Canis lupus familiaris: one gene and its partners. The protein of the gene in region 7 interacts with the protein of the main gene of each other region in a pairwise test. Links are inferred from orthologs where the notes say so. Each region holds a gene or a part of one and is shown on either strand. Other genes may lie near its edges.

The links.
Region 1: the proteins of MIPOL1 (region 7) and UBE2K interact in binary tests that used the Homo sapiens proteins (3 or more experiments, as listed by UniProt). The two-hybrid records come from large-scale screens. The link is inferred for Canis lupus familiaris from reciprocal best matches to the Homo sapiens genes MIPOL1 and UBE2K.
Region 2: the proteins of MIPOL1 (region 7) and CCT3 interact in binary tests that used the Homo sapiens proteins (3 or more experiments, as listed by UniProt). The two-hybrid records come from large-scale screens. The link is inferred for Canis lupus familiaris from reciprocal best matches to the Homo sapiens genes MIPOL1 and CCT3.
Region 3: the proteins of MIPOL1 (region 7) and TTC12 interact in binary tests that used the Homo sapiens proteins (3 or more experiments, as listed by UniProt). The two-hybrid records come from large-scale screens. The link is inferred for Canis lupus familiaris from reciprocal best matches to the Homo sapiens genes MIPOL1 and TTC12.
Region 4: the proteins of MIPOL1 (region 7) and digestive organ expansion factor homolog interact in binary tests that used the Homo sapiens proteins (3 or more experiments, as listed by UniProt). The link is inferred for Canis lupus familiaris from reciprocal best matches to the Homo sapiens genes MIPOL1 and UTP25.
Region 5: the proteins of MIPOL1 (region 7) and ZGPAT interact in binary tests that used the Homo sapiens proteins (3 or more experiments, as listed by UniProt). The two-hybrid records come from large-scale screens. The link is inferred for Canis lupus familiaris from reciprocal best matches to the Homo sapiens genes MIPOL1 and ZGPAT.
Region 6: the proteins of MIPOL1 (region 7) and BYSL interact in binary tests that used the Homo sapiens proteins (3 or more experiments, as listed by UniProt). The two-hybrid records come from large-scale screens. The link is inferred for Canis lupus familiaris from reciprocal best matches to the Homo sapiens genes MIPOL1 and BYSL.

What each region holds. Positions count from the first base shown.
Region 1 is NC_049224.1:73,286,653-73,290,152, forward strand, and holds part of UBE2K (ubiquitin-conjugating enzyme E2 K), read right to left. Parts: intron 2,982-3,500; coding exon 2,853-2,981; intron 2,562-2,852; coding exon 2,487-2,561; 3' UTR 1-2,486. UniProt on the Homo sapiens protein: Accepts ubiquitin from the E1 complex and catalyzes its covalent attachment to other proteins. In vitro, in the presence or in the absence of BRCA1-BARD1 E3 ubiquitin-protein ligase complex, catalyzes the synthesis of 'Lys-48'-linked polyubiquitin chains.
Region 2 is NC_049228.1:41,548,556-41,552,485, reverse strand, and holds the start of CCT3 (T-complex protein 1 subunit gamma), read right to left. Parts: upstream 2,801-3,930; 5' UTR 2,670-2,800; coding exon 2,639-2,669; intron 2,591-2,638; exon of another isoform or gene 2,530-2,590; intron 797-2,529; coding exon 735-796; intron 1-734. Other genes in the region: TSACC (TSSK6-activating co-chaperone protein), read left to right, coding at 2,915-3,052, 3,721-3,778. UniProt on the Homo sapiens protein: Component of the chaperonin-containing T-complex (TRiC), a molecular chaperone complex that assists the folding of actin, tubulin and other proteins upon ATP hydrolysis.
Region 3 is NC_049226.1:19,904,556-19,908,581, forward strand, and holds the start of TTC12 (tetratricopeptide repeat protein 12), read right to left. Parts: upstream 2,801-4,026; 5' UTR 2,736-2,800; intron 2,459-2,735; exon of another isoform or gene 2,387-2,458; intron 2,306-2,386; exon of another isoform or gene 2,090-2,305; intron 1,012-2,089; 5' UTR 997-1,011; coding exon 945-996; intron 1-944. UniProt on the Homo sapiens protein: Cytoplasmic protein that plays a role in the proper assembly of dynein arm complexes in motile cilia in both respiratory cells and sperm flagella.
Region 4 is NC_049228.1:8,363,641-8,367,140, reverse strand, and holds part of digestive organ expansion factor homolog, read right to left. Parts: coding exon 3,384-3,500; intron 1,603-3,383; coding exon 1,383-1,602; intron 1-1,382. UniProt on the Homo sapiens protein: Component of the ribosomal small subunit processome for the biogenesis of ribosomes, functions in pre-ribosomal RNA (pre-rRNA) processing. Essential for embryonic development in part through the regulation of p53 pathway.
Region 5 is NC_049245.1:48,113,882-48,117,007, reverse strand, and holds the end of ZGPAT (zinc finger CCCH-type with G patch domain-containing protein), read right to left. Parts: intron 3,055-3,126; coding exon 2,899-3,054; intron 1,762-2,898; coding exon 1,642-1,761; intron 1,554-1,641; coding exon 1,154-1,553; intron 902-1,153; coding exon 763-901; 3' UTR 501-762; downstream 1-500. Other genes in the region: LIME1 (lck-interacting transmembrane adapter 1), read right to left, coding at 150-321. UniProt on the Homo sapiens protein: Transcription repressor that specifically binds the 5'-GGAG[GA]A[GA]A-3' consensus sequence. Represses transcription by recruiting the chromatin multiprotein complex NuRD to target promoters.
Region 6 is NC_049233.1:10,768,253-10,772,308, reverse strand, and holds the start of BYSL (bystin), read right to left. Parts: upstream 2,801-4,056; 5' UTR 2,644-2,800; exon of another isoform or gene 2,437-2,643; 5' UTR 2,423-2,436; coding exon 2,155-2,422; intron 1-2,154. Other genes in the region: MED20 (mediator of RNA polymerase II transcription subunit 20), read left to right, coding at 2,979-2,992. UniProt on the Homo sapiens protein: Required for processing of 20S pre-rRNA precursor and biogenesis of 40S ribosomal subunits. May be required for trophinin-dependent regulation of cell adhesion during implantation of human embryos.
Region 7 is NC_049229.1:15,875,432-15,879,657, reverse strand, and holds the start of MIPOL1 (mirror-image polydactyly gene 1 protein), read right to left. Parts: upstream 2,801-4,226; 5' UTR 2,445-2,800; intron 1-2,444. Other genes in the region: SLC25A21 (mitochondrial 2-oxodicarboxylate carrier), read left to right, coding at 3,494-3,563.

The DNA of each region.
Region 1 (3,500 bases), on a different chromosome or scaffold from region 7:
AGGCCTTTACAACTGATGAATCACAAAAAAGTCAGAAATATAAAAAATAATTTCCACCAGGGTATCTTTTCTCTAGACCTGCACTTTTAGTGTCCTTTTCCCAAACACGTTAAGACCAGAGGGGGAAAAATTGCCTTAATTTTTATGTTTGGGGAAATACATTTATCTGTAGAAGAGTGAAAAACAAGAAACTGAAAGACGGTGAGAAATGCACCAGAAAAGAGAGAGGGATTATCACATTTAATGTAAAGGAGGTAAGTAAATTTTTGAAATGAAAATGCATCATGGAGAACCTCTCATACCAAATATTATTCTTTTCAATTTCCTGGGCACTGAGGATGTTGAAGTATAGTTGGATGAGATTACCTATGGGCTAATGTGCATAAAAATCAAAGGCAAGGTATAAAGGTATAGCTGCCTCCAAGAGCTAAGTATGTAATGCTTGACCTTAGTAACCTCTGAGTTCATTCTCTTTTGTCTAACCACAGGACAATTAAATATACCCTGATAATATAGGCAAATAGTTAACTGGGTAGATGTGTTTGATATTTAAAATAATCCAAATATTACCAAACCAACCCTCCACTAAAACAAAACAAAACAAAACAAACTAACCAATAGTGGAACAAAGCTGCCCACATTTTCACACAATCCCAACCTTACTTCAAAATATAAAGAAAAGTACAAGGTTTTAGCTATTTAAAATAAATAAAGAAAAATCTTGTTTCCTTTGGCATCTTTAGAAAGTAACTAAACTATAACAATTAAAGGAGGTGATTGTATAAAGAAATTTATGCTTAAGCAAATATATAGGGGAAAAAAACATAGCAACTTGTGTTTAGTATGCAATAATATCAACTACAAGAGTTTACTATTAATTAGGAAAGCCTTACAAGTTTTTGGAAGAACCTTCACATCTTTAATATTACAATATATTTAATAATGGTTCTTTTATTGCTTCTAAGATTATGGAGAAGTCAAATGAAATTATGCTGAATTTATGGTTCAAAACTATTTTCCAAACACTTAATGATTATAATTTAGGATAAATAACACTTGAAGAAAGCAAACCTTTTATAAATATGACTTTCAATATACAGCCTTACTTTAATTCATTCTCATTCCATTACATTTTTGTTATTCTGCATTGGTCCTGAAAATTTAATAAGAACTGTTTCTATGTATAGAACTGCCTGCATAAATCCATTTCAGTCTTCATAAAATGGTCACATTAGTGTTTGAGCTTGCAAAACTAATAATTTTCAAACTTTTGAACTTAGAATGAAATGTAACTTTAATACGAATAGAAAGTCTGACTATGTACAAGAAAAGGTAAAGTTTTCAATTCTCATATTATCAGAAACATCATAAAGAAAGCTAGATTTATAACACACTTCTATTCCTATGTGTATCTGAAGTATGTACAGTAGAACACCACACAGCTTTCATGTGTCAATAGGGGCAAATGCAATCAAGAGTGACTTTTAAAGTACCTGATAAAGTAATCTCTGTAAAGTCAAAATTAGGCTAAAAAACTGCCAATAGTTGATTGCATCATTTCAAGTTCTCAAAGAAAATTTCATCAGTTTAAAAATAGAAAGATGTCAAATTCACTGAAAAACTAAGTTAGGTTCTTTCATTAAATCTTGGGAATATTGCAACAAGTATTTACTATTTTTGCAAGAGGAACAAAATTGGCAGCTCCATTTTTACATTATTACTCACATTGGAAAGTTTTAAGAGTGAAGAGCTATAACAAAACATTCCAAATGGATGACCTAAAAATGGAGCAAGGGATACTGTCCCTCGGCATATTTCCCCACCAAATATAGAGAAATTTACTATTAGAATATTAGCTGTGTGTGGTAAGAAGGGGAAAAATAGATATGGTGTCCTAGTCTGTTGACAAGGACAAAAAGGCTCTGAATAGGTCACCATCTTCAATTCTGGATAAATCTCATATTTAAGAATTCTCAAATGCTTAAAATGGTGGTCTTTTCAGCTACCCATCCTAAGAAGTCAAGTACAAGCATGCAAGTAAATTCACAGGCACAGAGGATCCATGTTAAAAACAGTTAAGGTAGCTGTGATGCAACACCAACAATTTGAATGGCCCTGACACACTCAAAATATTATCTTAATTATTCAACGAAATCCTGAAGCAAACTCTTGCTAGTCTTGGTACACTGCTAAACACTAAAGTAGCATGTTTTTTCCATGGTTTTAGCTTAGCTCAAAGAATTTTTACACTATTAAGAAAAAAAAAATTAAAGTATTTCCCCTTTTTAAATTTACACAGACGTTTAATTAGCTTTATTTACAGAGCAGGGATTTTTTTTTTTTCAGTCTCCAATGGTGCCTAGATAACATCATTAGGCAAGAATGCCAGTTTAAAAGAAATCTATGCAGAATCCTAAAAATAACAGATGTTGATGCTCCTCAAGAAGGGGCAAGCTTGACTATATCAGCAGCTCTTTCTCTATGCCTCAGTTACTCAGAAGCAATTCTGTTGCAGTCTCTACATCCCATGATTTTGAAGACAAGGCCACTATTACCGCATTCTGTAGGGAAGAAAGGGGACAAAAAAAATCAAATCTCAAAACATATTTTTAAAATACTGAATCATGCACTGTCTTCATATTGAAAAATCACACCTTGTATCTGTAGTGCGTAACAAGCTTCTAAACCAATGACTGGAATTAGCCAAAGGGGAAAAAAATCACTGATTATAATAACAGAAGTTTATAAAACCTGATTTATAGCATCTCTGAACGACTTTTGTCAGCCAAGGATTTGCAGCAATAATTTTAAATCAATAACTACATCAGAAAAGCAAGCTTTTTGGTACTTACCCTATCAAAGCCCATAGCACATAGGTTTTCTATTTTTTTGGTGTATTCTGGACTAGAAACTGGTGCACCAGCATACACATGTGCCCAAAGTCGAGCTGTCTGTTTGAACATTTCGGGATTTTGTTTGTACTATAATGAAGAAAAAAATTGAACAATATGACAATGCAGTCACAATATTCAATACTTAATAACCTAAGAACTGGCTTTTTCTAAGTAAAAATAATTTACATTTAAAATGTGATTGATTCTAGGTAGCCCTGGTGGCTCAGGGGTTTAGCATCGCCTTCAGCCCAGGGCGTGATCTGGGATAGAGTCCCACATTGGGCTTCCTGCATGGAGCCTGCTTCTCCTCTGCCTGCGTCTCTGCCTCTCTTTCTCTCTCTCTCTTTCTGTCTCTCATGAATAAATAAATAAAATAATAAAATAATAAACAAATAAATAAATAAAATGTGATTGATTCAACTTTCTGTTGCAAACAAGGTCACTCAAGAAAAAAAGTCTGACCTGAAGCTCTGATTCACAAATGTTGACCAAAAAAGAAAAGAAAAAGAGCAATTATACTTACCAGTTTTAATCTCCAATTTCAATAGATGTAAGTAACAGAAAACTAATACCAGTGAAGTGATGTACACATATTTTTCTAAACAC
Region 2 (3,930 bases), on a different chromosome or scaffold from region 7:
ACTACATTAACTGAATACCGAGGCAGGATCTACAATGGATGCTAGGGATATAAAAGGGAATACAATCCTTCCCCTAAAGTAACTCCACACATGGTGTGAGACAAACACGAACAGGTTATAAAATATACGCTAATAGAATTATGCACAATATGAAAAGACTATTAAGCCTAACTCATTGCGGGAGGGCATCCTACCACCATCAGAGAAATGCCCTCAAAAAAGGCAAGTCAAACTTTTCTTCTGCCTAATTGCAAATGAATACAGAAATACTAGGGAAGGCAGCTGAAAGCAAACTCATCAACGTTAAACTATTTAAAAGATATGCTACTGGGGCACCTGGGTGGCTCAGTTGGTTAAGTGTCTGCTTTCAGCTCCCAGGGTGCTGGGATCAAACCTCACATCGGGTTCCCTGTTTAGCAGGGAGTCTGCTTCTCCCTCTCCCTGTGCTCCTCTCTCCCGCTCCTGCTCTCTCTCTCTCAAATAAATAAATCTAATCTTTATTTAAAAAAAAAAACCATTTTATTTATTCATTCATAGAGACACACACACACACACACACACACACAGAGACAGAGATACAGGCAGAGGGAGAAGCAGGCTCCATGCAGGGAGCCCGACGTGGAACTCGATCCCGGGTCTCCGGGATCACGCCCCAGGCTGGAGGTGGCACTAAATCCGCTGAGCCACCAGGGCTGCCCTAAATCTAATCTTTAAATGAATGAATGATATGCTACCTTGGCGGCATTGATGTTTCCAGATTGAACCTTTCTTCCAGATTCACGCTTTGTGTTCTGGCCTAAAACAGATAAAGTAAAATGTGATAGACCAGGATTCACCCACTGTGTAGCAACTATTTACTCCCTGACCTTTGGAAATAACACACGCACACATGCACACACAGGTTTTACAGATATACAAAGAACAAACCTCAATGAATCCTATGCTCTAGATACATGTAGGTTATTACATATCAAAATACCTTTGAAAACTTAAAAACAACAACAACACTAAAACATGTATTTATGGCTACATTTTTATGTCAACCCCTGGCATACAAACAATCCCTAACGCTTCAACTATGAAACCCTGGTCATCTCTTTCCCACTAACCAAATATTCACGAATTAACAGCAAAGATTCATACTGAGGTCCATAAATGGGCTAGTGGAATGGTAAACTCCTAGAGATTATATGAGAAAATGGGAAGGTACTGCATTCTTGACTGGGAAGAGGATCTATATCCTATTCTCAAAGAGCTGGTAACCTAAAAAAAAGCATCAGTCATTGCTTTCTGTAAAAAAAGGAAGGAGTTTGGGGGTTCTTATTTTCCTATTTGGGCAGGAGGAATTATACTAACCATCCCAGCACAATTACTGATAGCGCCCCCACAGTGTGCTGTGGAATTAGACTGTCCTCTCAGAGTGGCTCAGTTTGCAAGATAATCACTGCATGCTAGGATATAAGTAAGGATGCCTCAGTAACCGCTCTACCATCAGATTTTAACAGGGAGCCTACTCAGTCATAGTCACTAGTGCCAGAAAATAATGAAGACCCAAAAAAGGCTTCACACACAACCACCACTCACCCCTGGGGCCCTCCCAATGGAGACAAGCCAGTGGCTACAACCAAACCGCCGATTTCCCTCCTTCCAAATTACACATTCCCTACAATTTAAATCAGTAAAATTTTCAACCAGTCCCATCAAATCTACACGCTCACAACCCTCAGAATTTAGATTCATGTTTCGAGTAGCAGTAACTAAAATCCTGCACAGACTATTCTGATGGGCTCCTCAGAAAAAACAAAAGACAAAAACAAAAACAAAAACAAAAAACGGGCTTTTTCCCGGTTCAGTAAAAAAAAAAAAAAAAAAAAAAGTTTTTTTCCCGTGAAAACAGTGATTCCCAGGTACAGGGAAAAGGCATAAAACCGCTTTATTGCATTTTGTATACATAAAACGGTAAGGGAGGAACAAGAGTTTGCAGACGAGGTACAGAAGTTACACGAGGAACGGGAATATCCCAGGAGAAGACAATGGAGCGAATCCTCCTTAGAGAGAAATTCAGGAAAACTCAGTAGGTAGGATCACAGCGCGGAGGACACCGCGGGGCCAATTACATCGAAGCCGGACCCCGCGAAAGGAGACCCCGGGAGGGCGTTACTGAGAAATTACCAGGGCATCGCTCGCTGTGCGCGGACGCCCCCCCCCCCCCCCGCCCTCGTCGGCAGCGTCCCTACTTCAGTCACTTAAGCCCCCGATCCGACAAGAAAATACTGTCGAGACCCCCGATAAAAACGGAACGCTCGAGCCAGGCGATGTGGCGGGGTCAAGGGCCGGAGCTGGGAGGCCAGGCCTGACCACATCCCGTTCTCCGCGCCCGCACCGAGAACCACGCGAGCAGGGGTGCAGTGGCGGCGGAGGGAGCCCGGGTGCCCGCAGACCAGCGGCCCGGCCCGGCCCAGGCCCTAAGGGAACCGGCTCGGGGCAGAAAGAGGAGAAGGAAAGGGGATTCCGAAACCAACGACGACGGGAAGGCTGCGCGGCAGGACCAGGGCGGGACCGGGCTGGGGCAACACGCCAAAGCGCGGAGGTAAAGGGCGAAAAGAGGCCCCTCCTGCCCCGCCTTCCCCCAACTCACTGAGCACGAGCACCGGACGATGGCCCATCATGGCGGCGCGATGCAGAACCGGGTACCCAGAGCTGGGGCAACCGGCAGAACCTTCTGGAGAGAGAGAACCAGCGAGAAGCCCAGAAAACGCTGCCTCCTCAGGGCTTACACCTAAACCCGCTACCCTCCGGGTCGCTGCCAATCACTGCAGCCAGCTCATTGAGCGGCAAGAAAACCGGCCAATAGGCTTTCTTAGTCCCGCCCTCTACGCAAGAACGGCAGAGCAAGCTAGATAGAGAGCGCACGATGATGGCGAGGGGAGGGCCCGGGCGCTTGCGCAGTAGGGTGGCCGCTCCCGGCCGCGTGCGGCGCGCAGGTCGGCGCAAGCGCGGAGGCTGGGGCAGTTGGCCGCGACGCCACCGCGCATGTGTATCAACCACAAGGGTGGGACCCGGATCGGAGGCTCTCGAGTAACAGCGCTGGTGAAGTTACTGAGCTGGCCCGCGCCTCGGGTCCTTTGGGGGCGATGGTCTCTGTCCAGTCTTAGCTGCGGGAGGGACCGCGGCGCGGCCACTTCGGGAACTTGGTCCCCGGGGCGGTTGAGTGGCAGAGCCCTTCCCGGGGCGCCCCAGCGCGCCCCTCGCCCTCCTCTCGCAGGTGCTTCCCGCAGACGCTGGGGGCGAGCCCGGGGGTTCCTCGCGCAGCCGGGCCGTCTTTCCACGCCGGTACCCCGCGCCCTCCTGCGCTTTCTCTCGGCCCATGACAGGTGATGGGGAGCCAGGCTGCTGCAGTGACCTCAGAGGACAGGAGAAGGGCTGGTGCTGCAGAAGGGAAACATTGAGGGAAGCCCCGTTACTGGGAGACTCTGAAGGTTTGGGCTTAGTTAAGTGACGACTTGCCCAGAAGAGAGGATATAACAGTCAGGGACACCGCTGTTTTCCAAACCAGCGAAGGGACCATGGGAGCACTTGGCCATGAAGCAGAACAGTGCCTTCTTTCATACATCTTCCTCCCTAAATTGGAGCAGCGTCAGATGTGCTGGGGAGAAGTTAAACTGTCAGCGGTAAAATGGTAGCATGAGTTGATCATGTAACGCTGTGATTCTTCCCTAGGCACCACACCTTCTTGGTGTCCAGATGGAGCAGCATGCTAGCCACCCGAACGAAAAAGGTGTGTGTCTGAGGCCCCTTGCCCCCTGCCTTGAAAGCCAGACCTTCTTAATTGCTCAGAATTTGGGAAGGTGATTCTAATTATGCATATACCCCCTTTTTAAAAGATTTTATTTATTCATTCATGAGAGACACACACAGAGAGGGGAAGAG
Region 3 (4,026 bases), on a different chromosome or scaffold from region 7:
GACAGCTGGTGCAGAGTCTGAGGCTCAAGAGAGATGTGGGGGTGGTGAGTAGACAGGCTGCAGGAAAATCCATGTCCCTGAACTAGAGCACCCGAAGACAAATGTGAGCAGCAAGCTGGCCAAGGCCAGAACTCTGCAGAACAACATTTAGGGAGGGGCAGAGGAGAGCCTGTGGATGATCATAAAGGATGCATTATGGATGTGTCTGTTATCAAGTTACCCAAACTATTTTTAAAACCATTTTAGTCCTCTGGGTTCAAACAGCCTGCCGGAAGGAGCAATTTCAACATATTTCCATTGGATATGTAAGGTTTGTTTGATTGTTGGTTTGCCTGTTTCCATCATCAAACGAGCTCCCTCAAGTCTGAGTAGAAACCAGTTGCTTGGGAATCTCTTGAATGTGATTTGTGGGATCACAGAAGGTCCTTTGAGATCCCACCTGTCTGAGCTGGGGAAGGAGAGGACTTCTTCCCTAGAGACTGGGGTATGACAGCCATGAGCCATCCATGTAATGAGATGGACTCTGAGGGAAAGCCAATTGATTTTGCCCCTGCAGCTCAAAATCAGAAATGGCTCTGCCCTAAAATAAGAGGGATTCCAGAATGATCTACAAGGTTCCTGAGTGATCTCAGAGGGAACAGCTAGGCTCCTTTGATGTGGATTCCACACAGAAGGGGACAAAATATGGAGGAGGGCTGTCAGTCTCAATTCCAACCAGAATGTTAATGGCTTCTCTAATACCAATTAACAGCCACAAAATACTACCCCAGGCTCTAATATTACTTGCTTCTCAATACCCCTTCTGTTTAATTTCAATTACATTTTCCCTTAGAGTCATAAACCTATCAGGCAGCCTGGGAACTAACTCAGAGTGATCATTTCTCTTCAGTCACTCCACCTCGCCAATGTAGAATTTAATTTGTTTATGATTTACTGGTACTTACTGATTTCATCCACATTTTTAAGAAATTTCTGCAAATCTTCCTCATCAGCCATTGTGAACCAGAACACCTGGGGGAGGCGGCATAAGTGATGAAATTAATACTAATAAAACACTAAACAGAATTTATCAGGCTTATTAGGCTTCTAAAACCAAGAGCCAAGTGATTATTTTTAAGATGGATTTGTGTTCATAAATGTCATGAATAACAGCAGGGTGATCTATTTCACTCTGATTGCTATTAAGGCCAAGGGATACTCATTATTTGTGGTGATGCTTCTGGAAAGCTGTCAACCCTCTCTTCCAGTGGGAAAATTGCTCTGCGAAATGTTTCTCCAAAGCCAACATTCTGGGGGGGCTGGGGGGGCTCAGTTGGTGAAGCGTCTGCCTTTGGCTCAGGTCATGATCCCAGGGTCCTGGCATCGAGTCTCACATCGGACTCCCTGCTCTGCCAGGAGCCTGCTTCTCCTCCCTCTGCTGTTCCCCCTGCTTGTGCTCTCTGGCGCTGTCTCTCTCTCTCTCTTAAACAAATAAATAAAATCTTAAAAAAAAAAAAAAAGAAAAGAAAAAGCCAACATCAACTGCTGTGATTCTGGGACCTGGTGTAAAGGAGGGCAGGAGGCCAGAGGCTGACAGGCTAGCAGGAATAGAGAAGGACACTAACGCTTGACTCTGGTCATGAAAGGCCCACCCAGCCCGAAGCCTGGACCTGGCTGTGCGACTAGTAATCAGGAACTGGAGTATTTGCATTTCACTGTCCAAACTTAGTTTAAAATATAAGCCTGTGGCTTGTTTCTGATGAGCGAAGAGAAGCTAAAAATGGGCCGAAGGGATCAGAACTCGATGCCGCCGTGCACCAGCATCTCTTCTCCTTCTGGGTACTTTAGATGTATTACTTCTCTGTGGTTTGTGAGTAAACAGGCTTCGTGGTATACCCAGTAGTTCCCGAAGTTCATCCACAGACCATAAAAACCAGGCAAAAACTTGTTAAATACACAGACTCCTCCTAGCACCAAAGCTTCACAGTCAACTTGCCAGGGTACCCAGGTATGGCTAATTTTAAACTCTCTTGGGCTGATTCTGATCTATGGCTAGGTTTAGGATTTATGGCTAGGTTTAGTGGTAGTGCCGTTGCGTAGGCCCCGCTACCTGGAAATCTGAACTCTGCCGCGAGCAAGGTGGGAGTTATGCGACCCGGAGACTCCATCAGTTGCAAGCTGTGTGACCTCAGCTCAAGCCACCAACCTCTCTCAGCCTAACTCAGTCTATGGAAACGGTAATAGGAACCGAGAGAGGGTTAACTGAAAGCACCAGGCGTGCAACGAGCGGTAAAGGCGAGGCGCCCTTATCTGCAAAACGGGGGTGGGGACGTGTGGCTTCATTAAGCGAGCTAGGGCTCCTTCCGGCTCTAACATACAGCACCGAGGCCTAGTGAAGCGAGCTGACCTGCCCCAGGTGGTCGGGGCAGAAGGAAGATGCAGCACTTGCCCGGGTGTAAGAACACGCAGCCCGCGCCCAGCCCTCCGCCGCCCAGGAGACGCGCCCCGGGGAACCCGGCCGCCCGCTCGCCGCCCCGCCCCGCCCCGCCCCGCGCAAGGGGGCGGGGCCGACGGCACCGTTGCCTGGCAACCGCTCTGCAGCGTCCACCGGCCCCCATGCCGGAAGCGGAGGACCCCGCCACGGCCGACACGGGCCCTTCTGCCGCCGGGTCCCACACAGCATCCTCTGCTCGGCGCTGACGGCCAGATCCGCACCACATCGCAGGGCAGACCCCGGGCCACGCCGCCACACTGACCTGACACGCCCCGGGCCGGACAGGAAATGGCGGCAGTGGGCGGGCGCGGACGGGCCGGGGGCGTGGCCAGGGGCGGGGGCGTGGCTAGCGCGGGAGTGGGCGTGGCTAGCGCGGGAGTGGGCGTGGCCGGCGCTGGGGTTCCGCAGCGAGCTCGCTGCTAGGTGTCCGCGGAGCTGGTAGCCGGGCCTCCCCGGGAAGCACAAGCAGGTCCCTGAGCCTGCGCCAGGGTTTCGCCTCTTTTTCCTCTAAGGTCGGGGTATCACTCCCATCAGCTTACTATCCCTGGCCCAAAGAGGGGGACAACCTGCGGTGGGCTTGGGAGAGACAGGCTTGGCTGTGAATCCGGTTTTGCTTACTGGTAAACGTGAGACCTACAGTGAGCATGCATCTTCGAATGCATACACCGTTTTAAAGAGATTCCAGTCTGTTTTTTTAAAACAAAAGTTCAGTGTTAGTGTGCTGGGTTGAAAAGGGGAAGAAAGCAAATTTTGGGAAAGGTTCCATCTTGAGCTTAAACTAATGTTCAGAAACACGTGGGACTTCTTGGCAAATTTGTGGGTCTGTTTCAGAAACCTGTTGGGTAGGGGATGAGGAGCCCCTGGGGTTGAAACTTACCAGGAGGGCAGAGGGCTCCAGACATGGCCAGCTGGATCCAACATGGGTTGAGTAGAGTCTGTGGACTCTGTGCTGTGGCCTAGAAACGGCAGGATGCATATTTCAGCCTCCTGGAGAACAGGGGGCTGCTTGATGGAAATCTCCAGAAGGCGTTGGTATGTGTCACTACTGCTTGGGAACACCCCCGGTGGAGTGGAGTACACAGGGGCCAGGGAGTTCACTTGGCAGCAGAGCAGGTGCAGCTTCAGTGGAGTCCTTCTTATATACTCAGCAGCGGCAGGAGGCAGTAGGGCCTGGGGCCCAGCAGTAGAGTCACAGCAGCTGCTCTCAGGGACTGACATACCCCCTGAGAAGTAAGCAGAGTGGAAGTGTCTGGCAGTGCAGGGTTGCTTGTGCCAGCCACACCCCGGACATTCTCAGAAAGACACAGCTTCCTTTCCAGTGACCATGGAGCCTGTGGGCACTGATGGAAACAAAAACCAGGGACAGGTTATTGCTGTTAGTATCACCCTCTTTTCACCTCAGGCTGGGAGTTCTTGAGGACTCACAGGCAGAGTCTCCAACCTCAGGCTCCTTTTGTCATGTTGGGGGTGACAGGCTTCATTCCAAATCGCTTACTTCCTGTTCCACTACTCTTCACCAAACTCCTGTCCTGGACACCAGAGGGGTCTGCCCA
Region 4 (3,500 bases), on a different chromosome or scaffold from region 7:
GGCCTGATTCTCAGGACTCCACTGAAAGGACTCTTGCCAAGGTCACCAAATCAAAGATACTTCAATGTTTGTTACAAATGCATGAAGCAGCATATGGAACACATCCTCCTCAAAATGTTCTTTTCCTTCTGGTACTTTCCATTTCTTTAATACTCACTTCCTCTTCTAGCCCTGACCTGGCTCATATCTATCTTTTCAGATCCAAACAGCTCTTCCACAAGTCTGTGAGTTGGCTCTAAATTCCAATCACACCTTACATAAGTTTATGGGCAATAAATGGGTAAATTTATTCACTAACCATAGCTATAACGCCATCTTCACAAAGATCTGTATTTCCAGCCCAACTTTTCTTTCTTGAGCTCAAAACTGACATATCAGTAACTGGCAGGACTCCTGCACATGTTTAAAACTAAACATCTACTCTCGCAAAAAATAAATGAATAAATAACAAACAAACAAACAAAAAAAAAACCATCTACTCTCGTGCCCGCCCCCCTACTTTGGTGCACCTGACACTCCAGCCATGCTGAAGCCTTTGTAGATCTTTGGTCATACCCGGCTTATTCACCCTGATGCCTCTGCAAGTGCAGTTTCCTCTCTAAAACCTTTTCCTGCATTCTGACCACCCCTCCTTACAACAAAAATTTTAGTACAAAAATCACTTTAAACACCCCCAGATCATCCACTGCATCCTCTGATCAGCACTTATCAATCTGTACTGTTTGCCCAATAGGCTGGATTTCCTTAACAGCAAGAACCACAACTTTTATTTCTATATCCTCAGCTTCTTAGCAGTACTTGGTACAAAGTAGACGCTTAATGCATGTTTTTTTGAATGAACTTACGTGGCGAAAAAACATTTTCCTAAGAATTTACTCTATCAATATACAACCAACCAAGTATATGGGAGTTGGTTGAGACAAGCAAAGATGTGACAAGTTGGGTAGCAGTCGGTAAGTCCTGAGTGGAGACAATTCAGGGTAGGCACTCTCCATGGCTGGAAGAAGGGAAGTCCACCACTGTACATGGACACCCAGTTTATTCAGCCTCCCCGGAGGGACCCTCTAAGGCCCTATCACTTCCAACTCCCCCTGTAGCATCAACTACTAATTCTGGATGTGCTGAGACATTTCTGCTTTAAATGTGCATGTTTTTTTTTACATACAGCCTCAGAGATGCTCCATCCTGAGCCAAGTGTCCACCCTATTAGCCAGGCAAGACTCTCTTCCCTGGCAGACAAGATGTCCCAAATGCACCCGGGTCCTGTTAGGAGGACATCTCACCCCACTGAGAGAATGCCCAATTCCCAGCTTCTAGCCTCTAGTCATGTGAACCACATACCACAGGTCTTCAGGGTTTGAATTAAAACAAGAAGGAATTACCAATCCGAAAGTGGTCATCGATGTTGCCGACAAACACAGCTTCATAATCCTCAGGCCTCTTCAGGTTGGGTGGTCTCTCCTCAGGATCTGAGCCATACTCTCCCTTAAACCTCTTTTTGTTGCTCACAATTATTTTCTTCTTGCTGTCACCCTCGAGGAGGCTGATGAAGAGCTGCACCACCCGCAGAGCAGCTTCTCGGAAGGGCACAACTATCAGCACCTATGGAGAAAGCCACAACAGCCTCGGTGGGACCAGGGGAAGGGTCCGCAGCTGCGGTCAGCCTGCTGAAGACATGGTGCTAAAGAACCCTCCATAAAGCAGCAGGCCCTGCAAGGGCTCACATCTCAGCCACCTCCTTTGCACAGAACCAGGTTCAGGACTACAAACTAAGCACCTCTCATATCCACAGCACTGTCCTATGGACTTTAATCTAATAGCCCCATGAGAAGCAATTCCCAACCAGAATGTGGAAGTATCTTTCAGGATTAAGTCAATGCCTTTAACAGGAGTCCACTAGCAAAAATCCAATATAAACATACAAGTGTCAAGGAATGTTACTCATTTCTGTCTCGCACAGACCTTACTACAGTATTTTTATGCATAAGCTGCAAGGGATAAATGCTAAATAAATGAATGCATTAGGAAAAAAAATTTAAAAAAACAAAAAATAAAATAAATGAACTAGGTATGATAAGTAGAGAACAAATAAAGCTGGTAAGGAAAAGGATTAACGCATCTAATATATTTCCTAGCATGTTTTTCAGAAATGATGATAAAGCATTTCTGAAATGAGATCATATCTCAATGGGAAACGTAGGACTCAGTTTTCCAAACATTTCCAAAAATGCTTACAGTTACAACTGGAGAGAATAAAAATAGAATATGCTTAACAAACAATAAGTTTCTCATTACCCTTCTGTAAATATCAACAATGTAAACAACCCGTCAGAGCCCACAACTCATCAAATTCTAAATGTGCTTCATGGGTAATCTGACTCATTGTTTTCTACAACTCTAAATGGAAACAGATAAACTTATAATCCTTATTTTTAAGACTCTGAGATAGTTTCCCAGAAAGGGAGCAAGCACAGCCACAGGGGCATAGTGAGTGCAGCACCAAGGGCCCTAGATTGAAGAGGGCCAAGTTACTGCTGTCCCAGCTGTGACACTAAGTATCCAGGCTTCAGCTTCCCCAGTTATCATATAGGGGGCCAGACTAAAAAATGTCTAAGAGCCACATCAGTACTAAGCCCTAGAATCCTATTAGACTCAGTGAAACATCTAAAAAGATGAGACTTCCTCCATATGGAGGGATACAGGTTAAGGAGGTATGGGGAATGGAAGACACATGATGTAGCCACACAACATGAGTAATGTGGGCACAATTAAAAGACATTTCCTACCAAAGCCCCACATCCACTGGAACTTAGGCTTATGAGCCCAAATAAAGGTAATCATCACTTTAAGCAGCGGTAAGTATACAATGGAAAAACCGGAATTTCTGTTTCCCAAGATTTACTTATGTGTGTGGCTCAGTAATGAAAATTCTTGGTTCTAATCCCATCTCTGCTACTCATTTCCCGGTTCTCTTCAGCAAGGTCCTCTATGAATCTGGGTCTCTATCCATAGCTGCAGTATTTAGAGATTGGATAAAAGGCTGGCTAAGGTTCCAACCATTTCTGACAATCACAAAGAGATTTACAATGGAGTGTCATTTATGTATGCTCAGGATTATCTCAAGAATTATCAGAGGAACCTCTGACTCACAAGTTTCCAGTTAAATCCAGTTAGAAACAGTCCACTGAGCTGTCTACTGCACTGCTCTGGCACCACCTGGCCCATCTAAGGTGTTCACTCTTGGACTCATTCATTATTCCAGTATTCGTTACCATTAAAATACCTGACTATCTGCCAAGTGCCAGACACCTATACGGCACAGCCAGAAGCCTCCTTCTGGAGGACAAAGCTCTCCTGGATGAAGCTCTCCTGCTGCCACTCACCTTGGGCCTTGTTAGCCCTTGGTCTCTGAAGTCATCATCGTCACCCACCCCAAGCTTCTGACTGCGACGTCTGCTATTGTTACTAAGCACCTGGGCATTGGCTTTGAGGACATGATT
Region 5 (3,126 bases), on a different chromosome or scaffold from region 7:
CCTCACTTCCTGCTGTGCATCTATCTCCTGCATCTCCCTCAGCCACTCAGCCGTCGCCATCACAGCCTCACCCACTGGCTGCAGCCCGCGCGGGGTGCAGACGCTGCCTGGTTGGGGTGTGCGGCGGGCCAGCGCTGCTCCGAGCCTACCTCCGGGCGTCTCCACCCACCATGAGCTGGGCCGGCGTGGGTCACGGGCCGGGGCAGCCTCGAGGCCTCCAGAACCTGGGGCTTCCTCCGGCCTCAGCAGCAGGGCTTCCCAAGGGCTCTTCACCGACCACGACCCCTTCAGTCCCACACATTTGCGGGTGCTGGGCAACATGGGCGGCCCCCAAGCTGCGACCCAGCTCGGAGCTGCTGGCGGAGCCCCATCAAGACAGCAGAGGACGCCTGCCTCCGGACAGGGGCCAGCGGGCTCTCGCAGGGCCCTCCCGCCGGCGCCCACGGGCCTGCGCAGGGACCCCTCTCCCCCGAGGTCCCACAAGCCAGCCGAGCCTCCAATGAAAGACACCACAACACAATCACTTTAATGTCCTCGCTGAGGAGACCCCCCGAAACACTGGCGGGTGGGCTCAGTGGCAAGGAAGTGTCCAGAAGGGAGCCCTGCAGCCCCATGTCCTCTCAGCAGTGTCCGCTGGCCGTGGGGTGTAGCCTGGGAGCAGGCCAGCCCCTCTTCCAGGAGCATCTAGTCGGGTGACAGCTGGTCTCCCCGAGGGCACCCGGGAGCTGGGGTCCCTGAGCCCCGTCCACGGCACACAGGGCTCTAGAACTCGGTCATCTTCTTGTGGGTGTCTGCTTTCCTCTGTTCCCGCTGCAGACCCGCCTCCTGGGCCTGGAGCTGCCCCAGCTCCCGCTGGGCTCCCGCCAGCCTCTCCTGCAGCTGGGCCGCCGTCACACTGTGCCTGAGGAGGAGCCTGCCGTTCAGCACGAGCTGCTGGGCCACTGGCACGAGGCCCCCACACCCGTGGCCACGGCCCTCCTCCTCCAAGCACCAGACCCTCCTCGGACAGCCACCACCCTGGGGTCAGCGCGCGCTCCAGCTCACGTGCAGGCGAGAAGGCACAGCATGGAAAGTGGGCAGGAGGCCCACGGCAGGGCTGAGGCATCGACACCCAGGGGGCCGCCCCCTGCCCCAAGTCTCGCCCCACACGTACCGGCCGGTGTTTCGGGCGAGAGCCTTCTGGATGCCCCGGATGTCCCGCTGGGTCTGCTCGATCTTCTTCTCCGTCTGGAAGAGTCGCAGGCCCAGGGCCCGCTTGGCACTCCTGCTGGCATGGTACATCTCCTTCCCGCTCCTCCTCCCTGCGGGGGCCGCCGCAGCCTCCAGCGCCGCCGGGGTCCGGCACTGCAGCTTTTCGTTCAGAAAGTCAAACACGCTACGAGGGGGAGGGCGTCCACCCCCACTGCCCTGGCCTTTCGGGGGCCTCCGGGCGCCAGCCTTGCCGCCCTTGGTCCTCTTCTGCAAGATCTCTGCGCACTGGTCCAGCGACTTCCCTCGAGGCAGCACCACAGCGTGGATGGGCTCCACCCGGCCCTCGGCATGCCGGCCCAGACCTGGGGGCACACGGGGCTGGCGCTACCGCTGCTGGACCCGAGCCCCGCTGTGCGGCCCCCTCCCCTCCCCAGGGCGGCACACACTCACCCTTGCCAAACTCGTAGCCCATCTTGGCAAGGAGTCTGGAGCCGATGCCCCGTGTGTGCACCTCCCAGCCAGCGAAAGCGGAGCTGCAGGTCCCGGGCTCGGCAGCACTGGGTTCCACCACTGTAGGAAACAGGGCAGTGGCTCGGCCCCGCTGGACGGGGAGCACCCTGGGCTCCAGCCAGTGTCAGCCCGAGAGCTCAGCTCCGGGCCAGGGTCGTGGTGCCCTGAGCCTCAGGCTCTCCGGTGATTGCCCAGACCTGTCACCGGCACGTGACTAAGGCAGGACTCACGGCAGAGTCTGGCGCAGTCTGCTCCAGCCCCCCCACCGCAGGGCCAACCTCCCCACCCGAGCCCTCCCCTGACCCACCTTCTCAGGCGGTGAGCTCCCCTCTTCCCCCCGTAGAAAGTCCACGACTTCGCGGCTCAGTCCTCCCCTCCACCACCGTGGACATGGGGGTTCAGGAACTACCACCTCACCGGACAGATTCCACAGGAACGCCTCCCCTCTCCATCCTACCTGACCCCTTGGGAGGGCTGGACGCCCTCAGCCAGTTACCCTTCTTTTTTTTTTTTTTTTTTTTAATTTTTATTTATTTATGATAGTCACAGAGAGAGAGAGACAGAGAGAGGCAGAGACACAGGCAGAGGGAGAAGCAGGCTCCATGCACCGGGAGCCCGACGTGGGACTCGATCCCGGGTCTCCAGGATCGCGCCCTGGGCCAAAGGCAGGTGCCAAACCACTGGGCCACCCAGGGATCCCCCCCAGTTACCCTTCCTGAACAGCTCCTGCCCCGGCTCTCTCGACACAGCCTCCCCTCTAGCTACTAGGTGTCCCCACGTGGAGACCACTGGAAGGAGCCGCTCCTTCCTGCCCCCATGCCCCGCCGGTCCCTCGCACGCCGACCGGCCAGCCCTGCTTCAGTGGACACGGCTTCGGCCTGCGGGGTGTGGAGCTGCGATCATCCCGTGTGCTCCCTGAAGACTAGGGCCGGGTCATTCCATCTGCAGGCCTCAGGGCCCGCCCCAGACTCCACACGCTCGCTCTCATTTGCCCCCAATGCCTGTGGCGGGCTTCCACGTGTCCTCAGTCACACGTGCCCCTTCTGAACACAGTCTGCCTCACTGCCCCCATACTCTCCAAGGATGTGGTGAGAGGGTCACAGGCCCTGCCAGCCGGAAGCCTCTCGGGGTGACTGCTACCGACACTTCCCCTTGCCCCACTTTCCTGGCTTCTGGGATCCTGAACTGCCGCCATACCTCTGGCATAGCTGGGGTCATCTGGGTCGCCACTGTCTGAGTCTGAGGATCCCGTGGGGTCTGTGCGCAGCGGGGGCAGGATGCTGTCCCCCTCTACCACGGCCTCCTTCAGCAGCAGTGAGTCAAACTTGACGGTGTAGTAGCCATTATCTACATCTAGAGGCAGGGAACAAAAGACAGGCCAGCTCAGTGGCCTCAACAGGTGGTAGGAACCACATTGGGAGTTAG
Region 6 (4,056 bases), on a different chromosome or scaffold from region 7:
AGGAATAACCAGGACAAAAGCCCTAAGTTAGTATGTTTAAGGAAAAATAAAGCCTGTATGGATGAAGAGAGTAAGGGGAAAGTAGTAGAGGAGGTCAGATTGGCAACAGGGGCAGATCATGGAGGTCTTTTAAGTCATCCAATTATTGTGAGTGGACTGTAAGGGTGACTGTATGCTAATTAGGAAGCTACTAAAAATAATCCAGGTGAGAGATTATGGTGGTTCAAATAGGACTGTGTTCCAAGGTGATGAGATGTGGTCTGACTCTGATTTATTTATTTATTTATTTATTTATTTATTTATTTATTTATTTATTTATTCATTCATTCATTCATTCATTCATTCATGAGAGAGAGAGAGAGAGAGAGAGAGAGAGAGAGAGACACAGGCAGAGAGAGAAGCAGGCTCCATGCAGGGAGCCTGACGTGGGACTCGATCCCGGGTCTCCAGGATCAGGCCCTGGGCTGAAAGCGGTGCTAAATCACTGAGCCACCCGGGCTGCCCGACTCTGATCTATTTTGAAGATACGAGTCAACAAGATTTCCTAACATATCAAATGTGGAATAAGAAAGAAATCCAAGGCTTGCCTTGATCAAATGGAAGGATAGCATCCTATTAACTGAGCTGATAGTGGGAGGAGCAGGTTTGGCGAGAAGATCAGGATTTCTGTTTTGGACACATTAAATTTGAGATCTCTTGGGACGCCTGGGTGGCTCAGCGGTTGAGCGTTTGCCTTCAGCTCAGGGAGGGATCCCAGAGTTCTGGGATCAAGTCCGGCATCGGGCTCCCTGTGAGGAGCCGGCTTCTCCCTCTGCCTATGTCTCTGCCTTCTCTCTGTGTCTTTTATGAAAAAATAAATAAAATCTTAAAAAAAATAAATTTAAGACGTCTATTAGATTTCAAATTGGGGATGTCAAAAAGGCAGCTAAAATAGAAGAATCTGATTTTCATGGAAGAGATCAGGGCAAGAATACAAGGGTGGGAACAGTTACCAAATAGATGGTACTTAAACCGTGAAATGGATGACAGCACCAGAGAAGAGATATGAAAAGAAGAGGTCCAAGAACCAAACTTGTGGCATATCAATGATAAAAGGCTGGGGACAAAAGAGCCAGCAAAAGATGCTGAGAGGTGAAGAAGTACTAAAACAGGAATGGGATGGCTCAGAAGCCAAGTAAAGATACCGAACCCAGGAGGCCAGTGTTTAATTGTGTCAAACACTGCTCTCAGGACAAATGAAAGATGTGACCTGAGAAATGTATTAAGTGACCCGGAGGTCAACACTTACACCCTAAAAAATTAAAAAAAAAAAAGACCATCTTTTTATTAGTCTCTCTCCCTCTTTATAGCACCTAAACAATATCGTTCATTCTGCTTAGAGCTCTCTCTCCACTAGTTTTCAGCACCAAAGTCATGTAACCTAGGAACCCTGACCCCCAAAACTAATGCTCTTGTTTTAAGATGAAACTATACTTAAAAAAAAAAAAAAAGATTTTCATTTATTTATTTACAAGAAACACACAGAGAGAGGCAGAGGCATAGGCAGAGGGAGAAGCAGGCTCCCCGCTGGGATCCCGACGCGGGACTCCATCCCAGGACCCCGCGATCCTGCCCAGAGCCCAAGGCAGATGCTCAACCACTGAGACACCCAGGTGTCCCAAAACTATACTTTCATCATGAAATGTATTATTCGAATCGTCAATTTAATTGTCTCTCAGGTTAGACTGTAAGATCTTGAAGTCAGGGTCATGGCTATCTTGCTTCCTTTTTTACTCAAAACCATCTAAACTCCTACCTAGCACAGTGCAAAGTACGGACTAGACAACCTACAAGAATGTACAGAACAGATGGATAAACGTTAGGAGTGCTCAATAGTGTGACCAATTAACTTCTTGTTGGTCTAACTTAGAGACTGCCTAGACGCAAGCATCTAAAGCAACAAGTGGGCATAGAGAGCTCTGACCACCCTGAATCTATTCCAGGGCTGGGTCTCCCATTTCATCACCTTTGCAAGGGTGTGATGCGGACTCCTTATTCAATTTCACTTTTTTTATTCCAAAGGATTCCCCTGGCAGAACCTTTTGGCCGTCTATCTACTTCCCCCTCCCTCCAAAACTAACCACCCTCTTCCTGGCACCCCCCTCCCCCACTTACCCAGACGCGTGGTGCGCTCGCGCGGGGCTGCGGCCTTGTTCCCAGTCCCATGCTCGGTCTCGAGTTCCTCCTGTTGCTGCCGCGCTTGCTGCAAAATCCGTCGGGTCAGCCGGGGCCCCACATACTCTTCGTCCTCCTCTCTGGTCCCACGACCCCGCCGCTTCTCCCGGGGCCCTGCCCGCGCCGCGTCCCCAGCCAGGATTTGCTCAGCCAGCGGCGCATGTTTTTCCTGGCCTGCAGCTCCGCGAGCCGGCTTGAATTTGGGCATTTTTTTCCAGAACTCTGCCAGAAAGGTTTACACGTGGGGTACAGACGAGGAAAAAAAAAAAAAAAAGCCTTGAGCGCACTTGCGCCGTGAAGTCCCAGCTCCCAAGAGGCCCCCGCGGAGCTCACAGCGCCTCCCGGCGTCCGGAGGCCGGGAAGGCCATCAGCGCCGCCACACCCCGTAAGAGCGGGGCCTGGAGCCAGCCGGTCCCCGAATGAACTCACTGCTTCTAACGCTGGCTTCTGCAAGTGGTGGCAGTCCGAGCGGTGGTTTTCTACTTTCATAGATCGAGGACCTCTGTTCCCAGCCAAACGTGGACTTGCCTAGCTGCAAAGCCGGGGCCAGAGTTGGGTAGTGACGTCACTGGAGGCGTCACCGAGGAGATGCCTAGACCTGCCCCTGTTCCTCGTGGGCGCGTCGACTGGACGCTCTCCTTTTGCGTCATTTCCGGAGCACCTCCCTCGGCCGAAGCTTTCGTTAGGGGTCTTCACTTAGTGTGGGCGGCCAGAGACTACTGTGATCCGATTGTTTGTTCCTGCCATCCTCCTGGCCCGATACCATGGGAGTGACTTGGTAGGCCCGCAGGGGACTTTTTTGGGCGGCGCTCGGGGTCGGGAAGGGCCCCGGAGCCCGGAGTGTACCGGGAGGAGGGCCGGGACCAGGGACCGCGGTCCCCCATGAGCTGATGAAGATAAGATATCTTCGGAACGTGTGGGTGATGGAGACGCTGCGAGGGCTGCAGATTCTCCGCGCTTGTTTGCTCGGAGACACTTCCCTTCGTCCTGAAAGGCGGCAGGTGAAAGGTTTTGTCCCAGGAGCCCATCAGTGGTTGTGTTCCTCCTTCCCAGGAGGCCATAGGGCTGCCCGAGGTGGAAATTAAGGATGCCCGAACTAGGACCCAATCTACAGGCGTAGCTAGAGGAGGTAAAGGATAGGCAACGAGGAAACCGTCTTTTTTTAAAGATTTTCTCCTGCCCCTCCCTACAGCCACTTAATGCAGTTAGACCGGCCCGTGTCTGGTTCTGGTGCGGCCGTCTTAAGATTTTCGGTCTAGAGGGAAAAAAAAAAAAAAAATAAGCAGCAGCAGCTGTTGGGAGGTAGATTGGGGTTTAGGCACGTCACCTCTTCAGAATTCGTTTCCTACTATGTTTAATTGTATGGTTGGTGTAACTAATTACTATGGACTTTTAATCTCTCAACATGATATAAGTGGGGTGGCAGAGAAAGGTATGGGCCTAATGCTCTTGGAGAAAATGCTAGATTTTAGGGATTGTTTTGTTTTGAGTACCGGTAAGTATTAGCACGTTTCTAGTTAGGGCTGGAGCCTGTGGGAACCACTCTTTTTTTAAAAAAAAATTTTAATTTATTTATGATAGTCACACACACACACAGAGAGAGAGAGAGAGAGAGAGGCAGAGAGAGGCAGAGAGACATAGGCAGAGGGAGAAGCAGGCTCCATGCGGGGAGCCCGACGTGGGATTCGATCCTGGGTCTCCAGGATTGCACCCTGGGCCAAAGGCAGGCGCTAAACTGCTGCACCACCCAGGGATCCCTGGAGCTAGTCTTTCTGATAGCTCAGGTTCTTGTAGGCTTGTCGGTTACTGCACCTGTGTTTTCTGCAATGGATATTTTAAGCC
Region 7 (4,226 bases):
AAGATTCCATGTATACCAAGTTCTGCATTTGTGTGTCTGTGTTTTGACCCTGAAATAGAAGTCTATGGGCCTAGAGTGGCTATGTATTTTTCAGCGAACGGTATTTTAAAATGTGGGTGCAGTCATAGTATGTGTGCCACAGAGTTACTCTGCAACTTCTAGTTAGACGCTAATGAAGTATATTTTAAATTTGAGAATTTTTTTTCAAAATGAGTAAATATTGTCATTTTAAAATAAACTGAGCTCATATAAGAGGGAAAATAAATTTTATCTTGTTCAAGCCACTATTATTGTAGTCTTGAACATTAGCTTATCCAATGGCCCAATACAAAAGCTTTATTTCAAAAAGACACTGAACAAATTTTCAGATATTTAAGTCCAGTGAGGATTTTAAGGCTCCAGGCAGTTTAGTTTCTAGCCATTCTGCAAACTGATAGATGAGTCAATACTTTAATTATGTAATTCCCAACCAAGATCGGCTAAATAATCTATAACTTAAAAATATAAGCATGGGGTGCCTGGGTGGTACAGTTGGTTAAACATCCGACTTTGGTTTCAGCTCAGGTCATCATCTGAGGCTCATGAGATCCAGCCCTGCATCAGTCTGTGTGCTCAGAGAGGAGTCTGCTTAAGACTCCTTCTCCCTCTCCACCCTCACCACCCTCCTCGCTGCCCCCCATCTATGGGCTCTCTTTTTCATAAATCAATCAATCTATCTATCTATCTTTAAAAAATAAAATCAAAATATAAGCTTGATACTGTAGCAGTTTTGCTCTAGCATCAGGACATTACAGCATCATATAAAATAATAATAGAAAGAGAATGTGATAGATTAAATCTAGGGTATCTGAAATAGTAGGCCAAATAAATTTTACCTTCTTTTTTTTCTCAGTGCTAAACCTCCCAGCATTCCAATACTGGCCACAGGCAAATTCGGCTGCAGATTAAGAGATATAGCTAATAATCAGAGCTCTCAGCAGTGGGTATTTGTTGACCATGGATGGACATTAGCAGACTCCCAAGCTCTAGAATATAGTTATATCTAGACCCTATCTCTTCAACTATTCTACAGGTGTAGGACTAGATTACATGTGGTAACAGGCCTTGTTTTTGTTTTTTTTTCTTACTCAATAACATCAGTTCTAGCCTAAAAAGATTAAAAATAGGTAGCAATTTTCTAACAGGGTATTTGGAACTCTGTCTGGAAGGGTCTTCTCACTGAATCTACCTAGGTGCTGAGAGACTGAGGTCTTTGTGAGACCACAAACCTGCACCCACCTCCTTGGGATAAGATATTCAGAGATTAAGGTACTTGTGGAATTGATTAAAAGTATCTTTATACTGATCCAATGGGAGAGGGAGGAAGGCTATCTTTAAATCTTGACCTAAAAGTGTTATTGTATTTCCTGAAATAATCTAGGGAAGACAAAATTTTACTTAATACTAAATTAACACAAATTGCAATATGGTGGGATTTCCTCCATGAGCTTATATGCTCCATCAGGGATTTTAAGTGTTACATTGCCAGCACATAGGAAAGTGCTGATGCTTAGTCAACTTTCAATGAATGAATGCAGAATTTGGTTCAGTGCGTGCCTTCGGGTTTAAAAGTTGCAACTTTTTATTTTTAACTTTAAAAAATTCTCCATTTATATATATGAATAAGTGAAATTAATTTGGAGGCTATTTAATTATTTAATTATTTTAGGTTTTGCTGTGAGAGAATGTAGTTTGGCCTGTGGCTAGTATTTAAATCTACAATCCCAATGCATTTAGAAGAGAGAATCCTGGAATCAAATCCCAGCAATATTATTAGCTCATGGTGTGATCCTGGGAAACTCAGTTTCCTCATCGGAAAATGAGGGAAAGGTTTTCTATGAGCTCTGCAATTGTGATTTTAGTGCTTGGTATAGAATAGGTTCTCAATATTTGTTGAATATGTGATTCTATGTTGCACTCAAGACTTCATATTTAATTAGTAGACTGAAACATTCCTCAAAAGCTTTTACTTTAGCTAACCAGCAAAAATTTCTGAAAACTGTTCCTTGGTAAACATTTTAAGCTTAGTCATTTTAATCAAATATTTAATCAAATATGAGAGAAAATTTATCTTGCATATCTGATCCATAAGCACCAAGTGTATCTAATTCCTTACTTTCGACAATTTTACCAGTCAGATATCATTATTACCAGGTTTTCCCAGCTCAGCCTCAGAAATAAAAACAAAATATGAAATTACGGTATTTTGCACATTCAATTGGAAAGCACATAAAGTCTTAACCATATTACATTCCTGATATTCAACTGTTTCTGGCTTTCAAAATTGGCAATTCTCTATGGTTCAAACTGAATAGATTTAGTATTAAATACAATGTTTAAGAAATAGTATGACAATAGCGGTTCCAAATCCTCTCATTCTACCTTTTACTGGTATCGTCTCCTACCTGTTAGGGGTGTGGCAGGTATTCTTCTAAAATTTCATAATATTGTGTCTCTTCTACGTAGCATTTGTAACTTATGGTTTAAAAATAGTATAAATATTTATGTTGTTCCAAATATCCGAAAGGGCTAGTATGAATAATTAAATGTTTCATAGAAAAAATATACTGATAGTTCCCTATATTGCTTGATTACTTAGGTCTGTGGTTCACAAACTTTAACGCTCTTAACAATCACTGGAGACCTTACTAAAATGCAGGTTTCTGAGCCCTGTATCCAGAGATTCTGATTCAGTGGATAGGCGTGGGGCCACGAATCTGCCTTCTTAGGAACTCTCACATTACGTTGACGTTGCTGGATCTTAAGATCATACGTGGAGAAGCACTACTGACCTCGGGTACTGAAGAGACTTTTTTGTAACAAGGCCTCTTCTTTCGTTTTTCTCAGTAAATAAAACTCAAGTCGATGAGGTATGATACATTCTCTCAGGCCCAAACCATTTCTTCGCAAAGTACTACATTAACTTAATTGAAAGATAATTGTAACTTGGCCTGGCTTCTAGAACCCACAATTTCAGGATCCACCTGTCCGTTCTTTAGGGCCTCCCGGAGCGCTGGCCTGCCAAGGAGGGCAAGGGTCGCCCCGGCGCCGCCGCGAGGCCAGGGGCGCCTCTTCAGAGCGTTATCAGCGGCGGCGCGTGGGCCTGACGAACTGCAGGAGGCTCCCGATAGGGAAGCGCTTGGGCGCCAAGCTGGGAGACCAAACCCTACCACCGCGGGCGGCCAGACCGACCCCGTCCGCGAGGCCTTTCTCCGCCGAGGCCCTTCTTGGCGCCCAGGGGGCCTAGCGGCGGCGACAGAAAGCCCTGAAGGGGAGCCGCGGGCAGGTTCGCACCCGCCGGAGATCACGCACTGTGAGCCTGCGCCCTGAGCCGCCACCTCCGGGCGGCCGCCGGGCTGCCGCCTCCCCAGGAGCCGCCGGCGCCAGGACCAGCAGCAGCTCTTGCAGGCCGGCGAGCTCGCCCGCTCCGCTCCGCCGCCCCGGGCTTTCGAAGATGTCCGCCCAGCCCAATGCTGGCTTCGCGAGAGAGGCTTCTCGCCAGATCCTGGCCGGTGGTTCCGCTGGTAAGGCCGCCCCGCCGCGGGTCCCGGAACTTTCCTCAGAGGGGCCTCCCCACTGCAGTTTCTCCGCGGAACTGCACGCTGCGGTCGTACGCGGAGCGGGAGGCCGGGAGCGGGCGGGCGGGCGGGCGCCGGGGGCCGGGGTCGGGTCGCCCCCGCCCCCGCGCCCGCCGGTGCCCCGCCCCCCGGGCCTCGAGCCTGGAGCGCGAGCGAGGCTGCCCCAAGGCCTGCCCCCGGGAGGAGGCCTGGGTGCGTCGCTGGCTACCGCACTAGGAACGCGCCCGCGTCCGTCAGACTTCGCTTTGCTCTCAGTCGTGGCCTTTTTCTTCTGGGTACTTGTTCCGTACCTCCTGCCTCCCTCCTCAAAGTGCAGACCTCGGGACGCCGCGGGTCTTCCCCTTGCAGACTGTGCTTGCTTCGGGCCCTTCGTGTCTCCAATAGGCATATTAAAATTAAAGGCTGGGGTCCCTGGGTGGCGCAGCGGTTTGGCGCCTGCCTTTGGCCCAGGGCGCGATCCTGGAGACGCGGGATCGAATCCCACGTCGGGCTCCCGGTGCATGGAGCCTGCTTCTCCCTCTGCCTGTGTCTCTGCCTCTCTCTCTCTCTCTGTGACTATCACAAATAAAAAAAAAAAAAAAAAAAAAAAAAAAATTAAAGGCATACGTG